2 linked regions of the Oryctolagus cuniculus genome follow. The protein of the gene in region 1 binds, or shares a complex with, the protein of each later gene. Links are inferred from orthologs where the notes say so. Each region holds a gene or a part of one and is shown in the gene's direction. Other genes may lie near its edges.

What was found.
Region 2: BAG3 (region 1) and HSPB8 share a complex: the UniProt entries of both Homo sapiens proteins name them as parts of the chaperone-assisted selective autophagy (CASA) complex. The link is inferred for Oryctolagus cuniculus from reciprocal best matches to the Homo sapiens genes BAG3 and HSPB8.

The regions. Positions count from the first base shown.
Region 1 is NC_091446.1:11,044,832-11,048,635, reverse strand, and holds the end of BAG3 (BAG family molecular chaperone regulator 3), read left to right. Parts: intron 1-2,435; coding exon 2,436-3,251; 3' UTR 3,252-3,782; downstream 3,783-3,804. UniProt on the Homo sapiens protein: Co-chaperone and adapter protein that connects different classes of molecular chaperones including heat shock proteins 70 (HSP70s), e.g. HSPA1A/HSP70 or HSPA8/HSC70, and small heat shock proteins (sHSPs), e.g. HSPB8.
Region 2 is NC_091452.1:15,305,166-15,309,462, forward strand, and holds the start of HSPB8 (heat shock protein beta-8), read left to right. Parts: upstream 1-1,339; 5' UTR 1,340-3,394; coding exon 3,395-3,761; intron 3,762-4,297. UniProt on the Homo sapiens protein: Involved in the chaperone-assisted selective autophagy (CASA), a crucial process for protein quality control, particularly in mechanical strained cells and tissues such as muscle. Displays temperature-dependent chaperone activity.

The DNA.
Region 1 (3,804 bases):
GACAGAGAGACCTTCCATCAGCTGGTTCACTTGCCAAATGGCCACAGTGGCTGGAGCTGGGTCAGACTGAAGCCAGGAGCCAGGAGCTTCTTCCGGTCTCCCACATGGGTGCAGCGACCCAAGCCTTGGCCATCCTCTGCTGCTTGCTCAGGTGCATTATCAGGAAACAGGATTTGAAGTGGAGCAGCTGCAGATAGAACCAGCACCCAATGGAGTGCTAGCACTGCAGGCTGCAACTTAACCCACTACACACAGAGCGGGCCCCTAAAGTAGCTTCTTACACACCATTATTGTGTAACCCAAAGAGGCCATGGGGTTGCCTCAGGAGCAGTAAGGACCGGAGTTGGAGATATCTGGAGTGATAGAAAAGGCTTTTGTTTGTTTATTTGGTCTTGGTTTTTGTTTGTTTTAAAGATTTTTTTTTTATTTGAAAGGCAAAATGACCGAGAAGGAGACACAGAGAAAGATCTTCTATCTGCCGGTTCACTTCCCAAATGGGATTGGGCCAGACCCAAGCCAGGAGCCTGGAACTCCATCCAGGTCTCCCAGGCGGGTGGCAGAGACCCATTGTCTGCTGCTGTCCTAGCTGCCTTAGCAGGGAGCCGGATAGGAAGCAGAGCGGCCAGGCTGGGCCACAAATGGCAGTCTGATAAGGGGCGCCGGTGACGTAGGCGGCGGCTTACCCTGCTGTACCGCATCGCGAGCCCTGTCACAGCAGGTCTGATGGAAAAGCAGGTTCCGGGGCGACTGCCGAGTCACACTGGCTCCTGCAGGTCAGGAGCACCCACTGAGTGGTGGTGGCATCCTCACGGCATAATTGGTGAACAGTTCTCAACCCTGTTGTCACTGCCATCAGCTTTGTTCGTGGTGACCTTTCTTTTTAAAAAAAAATTTTATTTGCAAGGCAGAGTTAGAGAGAGGTCTTCTGTCTGCTGGTTCACTGCCCAAGTGGCCACAATGGCTGGAACTGGAATGATCTGAAACCAGGAGCCAGGAGCTTCTTCTGGGTCTCCCACGTGGGTGCAGGGGCCCAAGTATTTGGGCCATCTTCTGCTTTCTCAGGCTATTAGGGAGCTGGATCAGAAGTAGAGCAGCTGGGACTCGAACCAGTGCCTGTATGGGATGCTGGTGCTGCAGGCAGGGGCTTAACCTACTGCACCAGAGCACCAGCCCCTCGGTGACCTTTCTAGAGTTTTGTTCCAGGATCCCTTTTTGGAGGCCTTGAAGGATTTGACCTAATAACATATGGTAGGATTTAATATTAGAAATTGGGTGTACTTTAGAAATAGTACAGTCTGACTTTCATTGCCAAGTTGATTAGATTAGGGAGCATGAGACTTAGGGGAGATTTTAGATATTCATTTATATGCTAGAAGAACCAAGGTGTTTCTGATCGGAGCATAACTCATCATTTTCCTTCCTTTATTTATTTTTAAGATTTATATATTTATTTGAAAGAGTTACACACACACACACACACGCACAGAGGAGGGCTTTCCATCCGCTGGTTCACTCCCCAGTTTGCTGCAACTGTGCCAATCTGAAGCCAGGCGCTTCCCCCGGGTCTCCCATGTGGGTGTAGGGGCCCAAGGACTTGGGCCATCTTCCACTGCTTTCCCAGGCCATAGCAGAGAGAGCTGGATCGGAAGTGGAGCAGCTGGGTCTCAAACCCGCGCCCATATGGGATGCCAGCACTTCAGGCCAGGGGGTTAACCCACTGCGCCACAGCGCCAGCCCCAAGCTCATCATTTTAAAAAATGGCTCTTGCCGACAGTCTCGAGGAGAGACCACAGCCGGAGTCAGCATGGGAGGCGTTGCTGAGTGTGAGGTTCAGGCATGAGTATGCCTAAGCAGAATTCTCACGGAGTTGACGACCGTGAGTATCTTGTTTGTTGAAAAAAATTAATAAATAAATACACCAGGAACCACTATCCTGGCTGAAACTATTAGGCTGTCATAGCTTTAACAAAAAGAAGGCCTGCACCCCACTCCCCCATGAGTGGGCTGCGTTTGGCATAAGGAGTGGGGGCCAGGCCTGTGGCGCCAGCTGCCTCACCCGATGGTCAGAGCCACTCAGCACTCTGTTATCAGCAAAGTCGGCTCAGCAGTCAGCAAGAGGCTTTGCTATTTCATTTTTGAACATCATCTTGGTTTTCTTTTCACTGCTGTTTGAACACTGTCTACAGAGAGATTCTATGAGAGGTAACACAAGCAGCCCAAGGTGGTTCCCAGAAGCCTAACAAATGGTTTGGTTTCCTACATGATTAACGGCATATTTTGGTTTTGTACCAGCTGTTGGTTGACTTTAGACTCTCTCAATTAACCTAAAAAAAAGCCATTGCCCATTTTTCTGACTGGCACTGGCTGCACCCAGCCGCCCGGGACGTTCTGCCAGGGGTTGAACCTGCCTTTGTGTCCTCTCTTCTTTTTCACAGCCGCCCATGGCCCAGCGAGAATCTCCACCTGCTCCCCAACCTGACAGCAAGCCAGAAAGTAAGGCAGGCCCGGCAGGACCAGATCTCCTTCCCGGACACATCCCAATCCAAGTGATCCGCAAGGAGGCAGATTCCAAACCTGCTTCCCCAAAGCCGCCCCCTCCCTCTGAGAAAGTGGAGGCAAAGGTGCCCTCTGCTCCAGTCTCCTGTCCTCCTCCCATTCCCGCCCCCGCTGCTGTCCCCTCTCCCCCCAAGAATGTGGCTGCGGAAGAGAAGGCAGCACCCAGCCCCACCCCTGCCGACGCACCAGCCCCCAAGCCGGGAGAAGCTGAGGCCCCCCCGAAACACCCAGGTGTGCTGAAGGTGGAAGCCATCCTGGAGAAGGTGCAAGGGCTGGAGCAGGCTGTGGACAACTTCGAAGGCAAGAAGACCGACAAGAAGTACCTGATGATTGAAGAGTATCTGACCAAAGAGCTGCTGGCCCTGGATTCCGTGGACCCGGAGGGACGAGCTGATGTGCGCCAGGCCAGGAGAGACGGTGTCAGGAAGGTCCAGACCATCTTGGAAAAACTCGAACAGAAAGCAATCGATGTCCCAGGTCAAGTCCAGGTTTATGAACTCCAGCCCAGCAACCTTGAACCTGATCGGCCACTGCAAGAAATCATGGAGATGGCCGCAGACAAGGGGAAGAAAAGTGCCGGAAATGAAGACCCCCAGACTGAAACCCAGCAGGCAGAAGCCAAAGAAGGAACCACTGCAGACCCCAGTGGCACGACGGACCCAGCTGGGAGCCAGGGGAGCCCAGCGACAGCGTAGTCTCCGCTGAGTGGGGTCAGGCTGGAGACGTGGACTGGGTTGTGTGCTCTGGGGATTTTAAGTTGCATGCATTTCAGGGACTTTCAGTCAGTTTGTTTTTGTTATTTGTAGCCGCTTGGTACGCAGTAACTTGGGTGGAGGCACAACACACTAATACAAGGGCTGAAGGGAAGACGATGCTTCTCTTCTGTAGCCTTGTTCTGTACGAAGAAAGAAGCTGCTTGTTTAACCCCATTGCTTGTTTTGGGGCCCTCTGCATGGGCACCACGCCAGCTGTGGTCACTGTCTTCCTTTAGCTCTGGACTGAAGGCGTTGTTGGGGGTAGATGGGGAGCTGATTTCCCATCACGTAAGCATAACTCACTTCTCAGAAATGTTGCCATTTTTGTTTTAATGGGATGATTTTCTTCATCTCAGTAGTTCAAGTATCTAACTTTAGATAGAGTAAATGTGTAAGGAGCCATATCTGTAAGTTGAATGACTTTATGCTACATTTTAAAAAAGGAAAATAAAGTAGTAACACAACTCACAATATTTTATTTATTATTTATTTT
Region 2 (4,297 bases), on another chromosome or scaffold:
CACCTGGCTGTCAGCCCGTGGGGTTTAAGTGACTGTGCTGCCTCCGGCCAAGGGGCTGGGTCAGCAGGACAAGCAGCCGAGTCCCTTAGCCCAACCCAGAAATGTAACAAGAGCCCCAGGAGCAGACACCGGGAAGCAGGGGAGGATCACGGGGCGGGAGCTCCATCTGGGTCTCCCATGTGGGTGCAGGGACCCAAACACTTGGGCCATCTTCCACTGCTTTCCCAGGTGCATTGGCAAGGAGCTGAATAAGGAATGGAGAAGCTGGGACTCCAACCAGTGCTCACGTGGGATGCTAAGCAGCTTCACAGGCCGTGGCTTAACCCACTGTGCCACAACACCCACCTCCCTGCGGCCTCGACATGGGGAGGGGGGTTAGGTCATCCGGTTCCCTTCCCGCTCCCTGGCCAGGCTTCCGTCTTATCTGTTCTCCTCGTTCCAGCTGTGCCTTGTTCTAGGCAGAGGGGCTTTCTGGAAGCTTCCATTGGGGCTTGCAGAAGGGAGGGGGAGGGGAAGCAGTATTTCCAGAAGACCCACCCTTCCATAAACACAGCCCTGACCCTGAACACACACTCACACTCCCACTGCTCCCACCCGAATCCACTCCCAGCCTTGCTCTATGCCAAGCCACTCCCACCCAGACCCCCCCCACTCAGAAACCGCACCCCAGTCTCGCCCAGGTCCCTGGTAGGGCTGATGACTCCCAATTCTCCCCATAACTGGCTTCAAAGTCAGCTGGCCCTGCCCAGCTGTAATTACAGAGAGAGCCGAGGCAGTGACGTCAGCCTGAAGCTGCTAGGCTGATGAGCTCACCCCGTATCAAGTGGGGGCCCAGTCACTCGGAGCGCTGCCCGCCGGCCTGGGGCTTGCCTCCCCTTCTTGTTGCGGGAGGAGGCTGGGGGTCTCCATTAGGATCCGGCAGCTCAGCGACAGAGCTGGGAGTCAGGGCGACCCAAGTCCCACTGGCCCAGGTCCTGCAGCCCCACAGCCAAGGGTAAGAGGCAAGGGTCTGCAGGGGGCATGGACCACAAGGAAGCAGGAGGGAGGGTCTGACGCAGACTCCGCAGACCCGCCCCACACCTCGCTCCCCTCAGCGGCGGGGCCAGGGAGGCAGTAAACCACGGTGATGGGTCTATGGATTGTTATTTTTAGCAAACTGCCTAAGCAGACACCGCTTAACATCCAACCGTTTCTCGACCTGTGACTCACTGAGTTTCTGAACACCCCCACCCCACGAAGAAGGCAGAGGAAAAGACCTCTGCCACCTGTTGGGGACCGATCAAAGAGGAAGAGGAACCTAAGCCCAGGGGGTTTTGTTGTTGTTTTTAAGCCCAAGGATTTTTTTTTTTTTTTTTTGACAGAGTGGACAGTGAGAGAGAGAGAGACAGAAAGAAAGGTCTTCCTTTTGCCTTTGGTTCACCCACCAATGGCCGCTGCAGCCGGCGCACCGCGCTGATCCGAAGCCAGGAGCCAGGTGCTTCTCCTGGTCTCCCATGGGGTGCAGGGCCCAAGCACTTGGGCCATCCTCCACTGCACTCCCTGGCCACAGCAGAGAGCTGGTTTGGAAGAGGGGCAACTGGGACAGAATCCGGCGCCTCGACCGGGACTAGAACCTGGTGTGCCGGCGCCGCAAGGCAGAGGATTAGCCTAGTGAGCCACGGCGCCGGCCTCCAAGGAAGGTTTGTAAATTGGTTCTTCCAGCCGCACAGGAGCCGCGGAGAAGCCTGGAAAATGCAATTCTTCCTGGGCTCAGGGCAGACGTCCTGCCTGGGCACAGAACTTTGCAATAATTGTGCAATCCTAAGGGACACTGTCATTCGATAACACGGCCTGCGGCACTTTCCTTGCCTTACAAAATGTGGGCGGAGAATCCATTGAGTTAGTATTTGCGAAGTACCTGGGACGGGGGCCGGCACAGAGCAAGCGTTGGCGTCACTGGTAACAAAACTGGAAGAACGAAAGTGCCGATGGGTGTCCTAAACGCTGGGCGAGAATCACCTGCCCCAGCCGCTCCTCGGACACATCCAGGAGCAGGCTGCTCTCGCGCCCACTTTACAGGTGGGAAAGCAGCCGGCTCACAGGTGCCGAGGGGCACGCTAATGCTTTAGACTTCAATTGCCAGGCTCATGGCTTGGCCAACCCGTAGCCACGTTCCTGAGCCTTCTTTTGGGTGCATCTGCGCAGTTTTTCGTAAAATCCGATTTCAGCAAAGAACCGCCTAAGTCAGTTAAGCAACAAGACCCACCCTTGACACCCAACCCTTTCTCCAGCCCCACCCCACCCCCTAGGTGGGATCTGATCCCAGCCTGGCCTGACTCTAAGCCAGAATCTCTCGTCCGGTTGGTTTAGCCAGAATCCCTTGGACTTAGAAGTTCCTCCCGGCAGTGTTCCACCCCCTGGCCCTCTCCTTGATCCTCCCTCTGGGATTCCGGTGTTTCCGGGGCCCTGCAATCTTTCTCCTCCACTGCACAGCATGCGGCCCCTGCACCTACCGCCAGAGCCGCCCCCCCCATAAAGTCCTCCCCACTGGAGTGCCGCTGGAATCCTAGTCTACGTAGAGATTTACACAGCTTTGTTTTGTTTTTCTTTCCCTTTGCCACTCTATTCCAAAGACAACCCAGAGCCATCCGCCTCCAAGCCCACCGGTTATCCGGCCTCCCTCTCTCCTCCCCTTCTGCAGGTGCCGACGGGGACGCCTGCAGCCACAGGCTCGGGGAAGGTATTTCCAGAGGGTGACCTGAACCCTCAGCAGGGCAGAGGGTTATTAATAGCCAGGCGGCTGAGCCCTGCCGGGGCGGGGCGGGGGAGGCAGCGGGAGGGCGGAGCCGAGCGCCGCGCCTGGGAGGAGAGAACATCCGGAGAGGCCCCTCCCAGCCTCCCCCAGCCTCCCCCGGGCCGGTGCGGAGCCCAGCTGTCCCCTAGGCGGATTCTCTGGGGCTGCTTCATCACCTCCGAATACTCCGGTGACAGGAGGCGCCTGCGGCTCCACCCCCAACCCCCAGCAGCGAATAAATAGCAGGCTCCCAGCCCAGAAGCCAGGAGAAGTTTCTAGGCGTGTGTTCCCCAGTTTATTAAGCCCCTGGCTCCACTCTCGAGCTCGGTGGTTCTGGCTGCGCGCCTGGGCAGCTTCGGGAGGACCGTGGCTTGCTGATCTCCGGGTCCCTGGTAGGGGGAATTCCACTGGGCTCAGCCAGGGAGCACCTTTCGGGGCTGGGACCCCAGCCTGGTGTGCACGAGCCGCCGTGGCCGTGGATGGTCCTGCTTCTCCCTGACTGAAGACTGGCATTTTCCTGAAGCTGAAGATAAGCCGGGAAGCCCAGCTCAGCTGCGTGACCTTGGGCAGGTGGTGCCTTCACCCTGAGCCTCGGTTTCCCCTCTGAGCTCAGTAGCCGCCATGGCTGACGGGCAGATGCCGTTCTCCTGCCACTACCCGAGCCGCCTGCGCCGAGACCCCTTCCGGGACTCGTCCCTGTCCTCCCGCCTGCTGGACGATGGCTTTGGCATGGACCCCTTCGCCGACGACCTCACCGCCTCGTGGCCGGACTGGGCGCTGCCTCGGCTCTCGTCCCCGTGGCCCGGGACCCTGAGGTCGGGCATAGTGCCCCGGGGGCCCAACGCTGCGGCCAGGTTTGGGGTGCCCGCCGAGGGCAGGAGCCCTCCACCATTCCCCGGGGAACCCTGGAAAGTGTGTGTCAATGTGCACAGCTTCAAGCCCGAGGAGCTGATGGTGAAAACCAAGGACGGCTACGTGGAGGTGTCCGGTGAGTTGGGGCTGGGGGCTTGGGGAAGCTGCGCTCGGGGCCTGTGTTTATGGAAAGTGCTCCTATCCCAGCTCCCAGGAGGACGCTCACCCTGCCCCCGCTGCCAGGGCCCAGGCCAGGGACACAGAAAGCCGCCTGGATGTTTCAACAGAGACAGTTGAATGCAGAGGCCAGGCTAGGCCGACAGAGCAGGGAGACACGGGCCCCTCACCCTGTCCTCTCGTGGGATGGGCTGGGCCGTGACACCACGGGCGGCCTCCCACGCCTGGGATGAAAGAGCCAGGCCTGGATTTCCAAAGCTTTTTCCGCAGAGTAAGCGTGTCCTTTAACTCCATTTCGCCACAAACGTGTTGATGTCGCCTTGCGTCTATAACTGGCACAGACTCCATGACTCCCCTTCATCACAGATCAGGAAACAGGGGCTCCGTGGTGACTCCACGGATGCCGGGGGTAACCCTGAGGGAGCGCTCGCCACCTCCTAGGCGCCGTGTCTAACGCTGCAGCGAACAGGACGGCACAGAAGGTCGGCTCCTGTT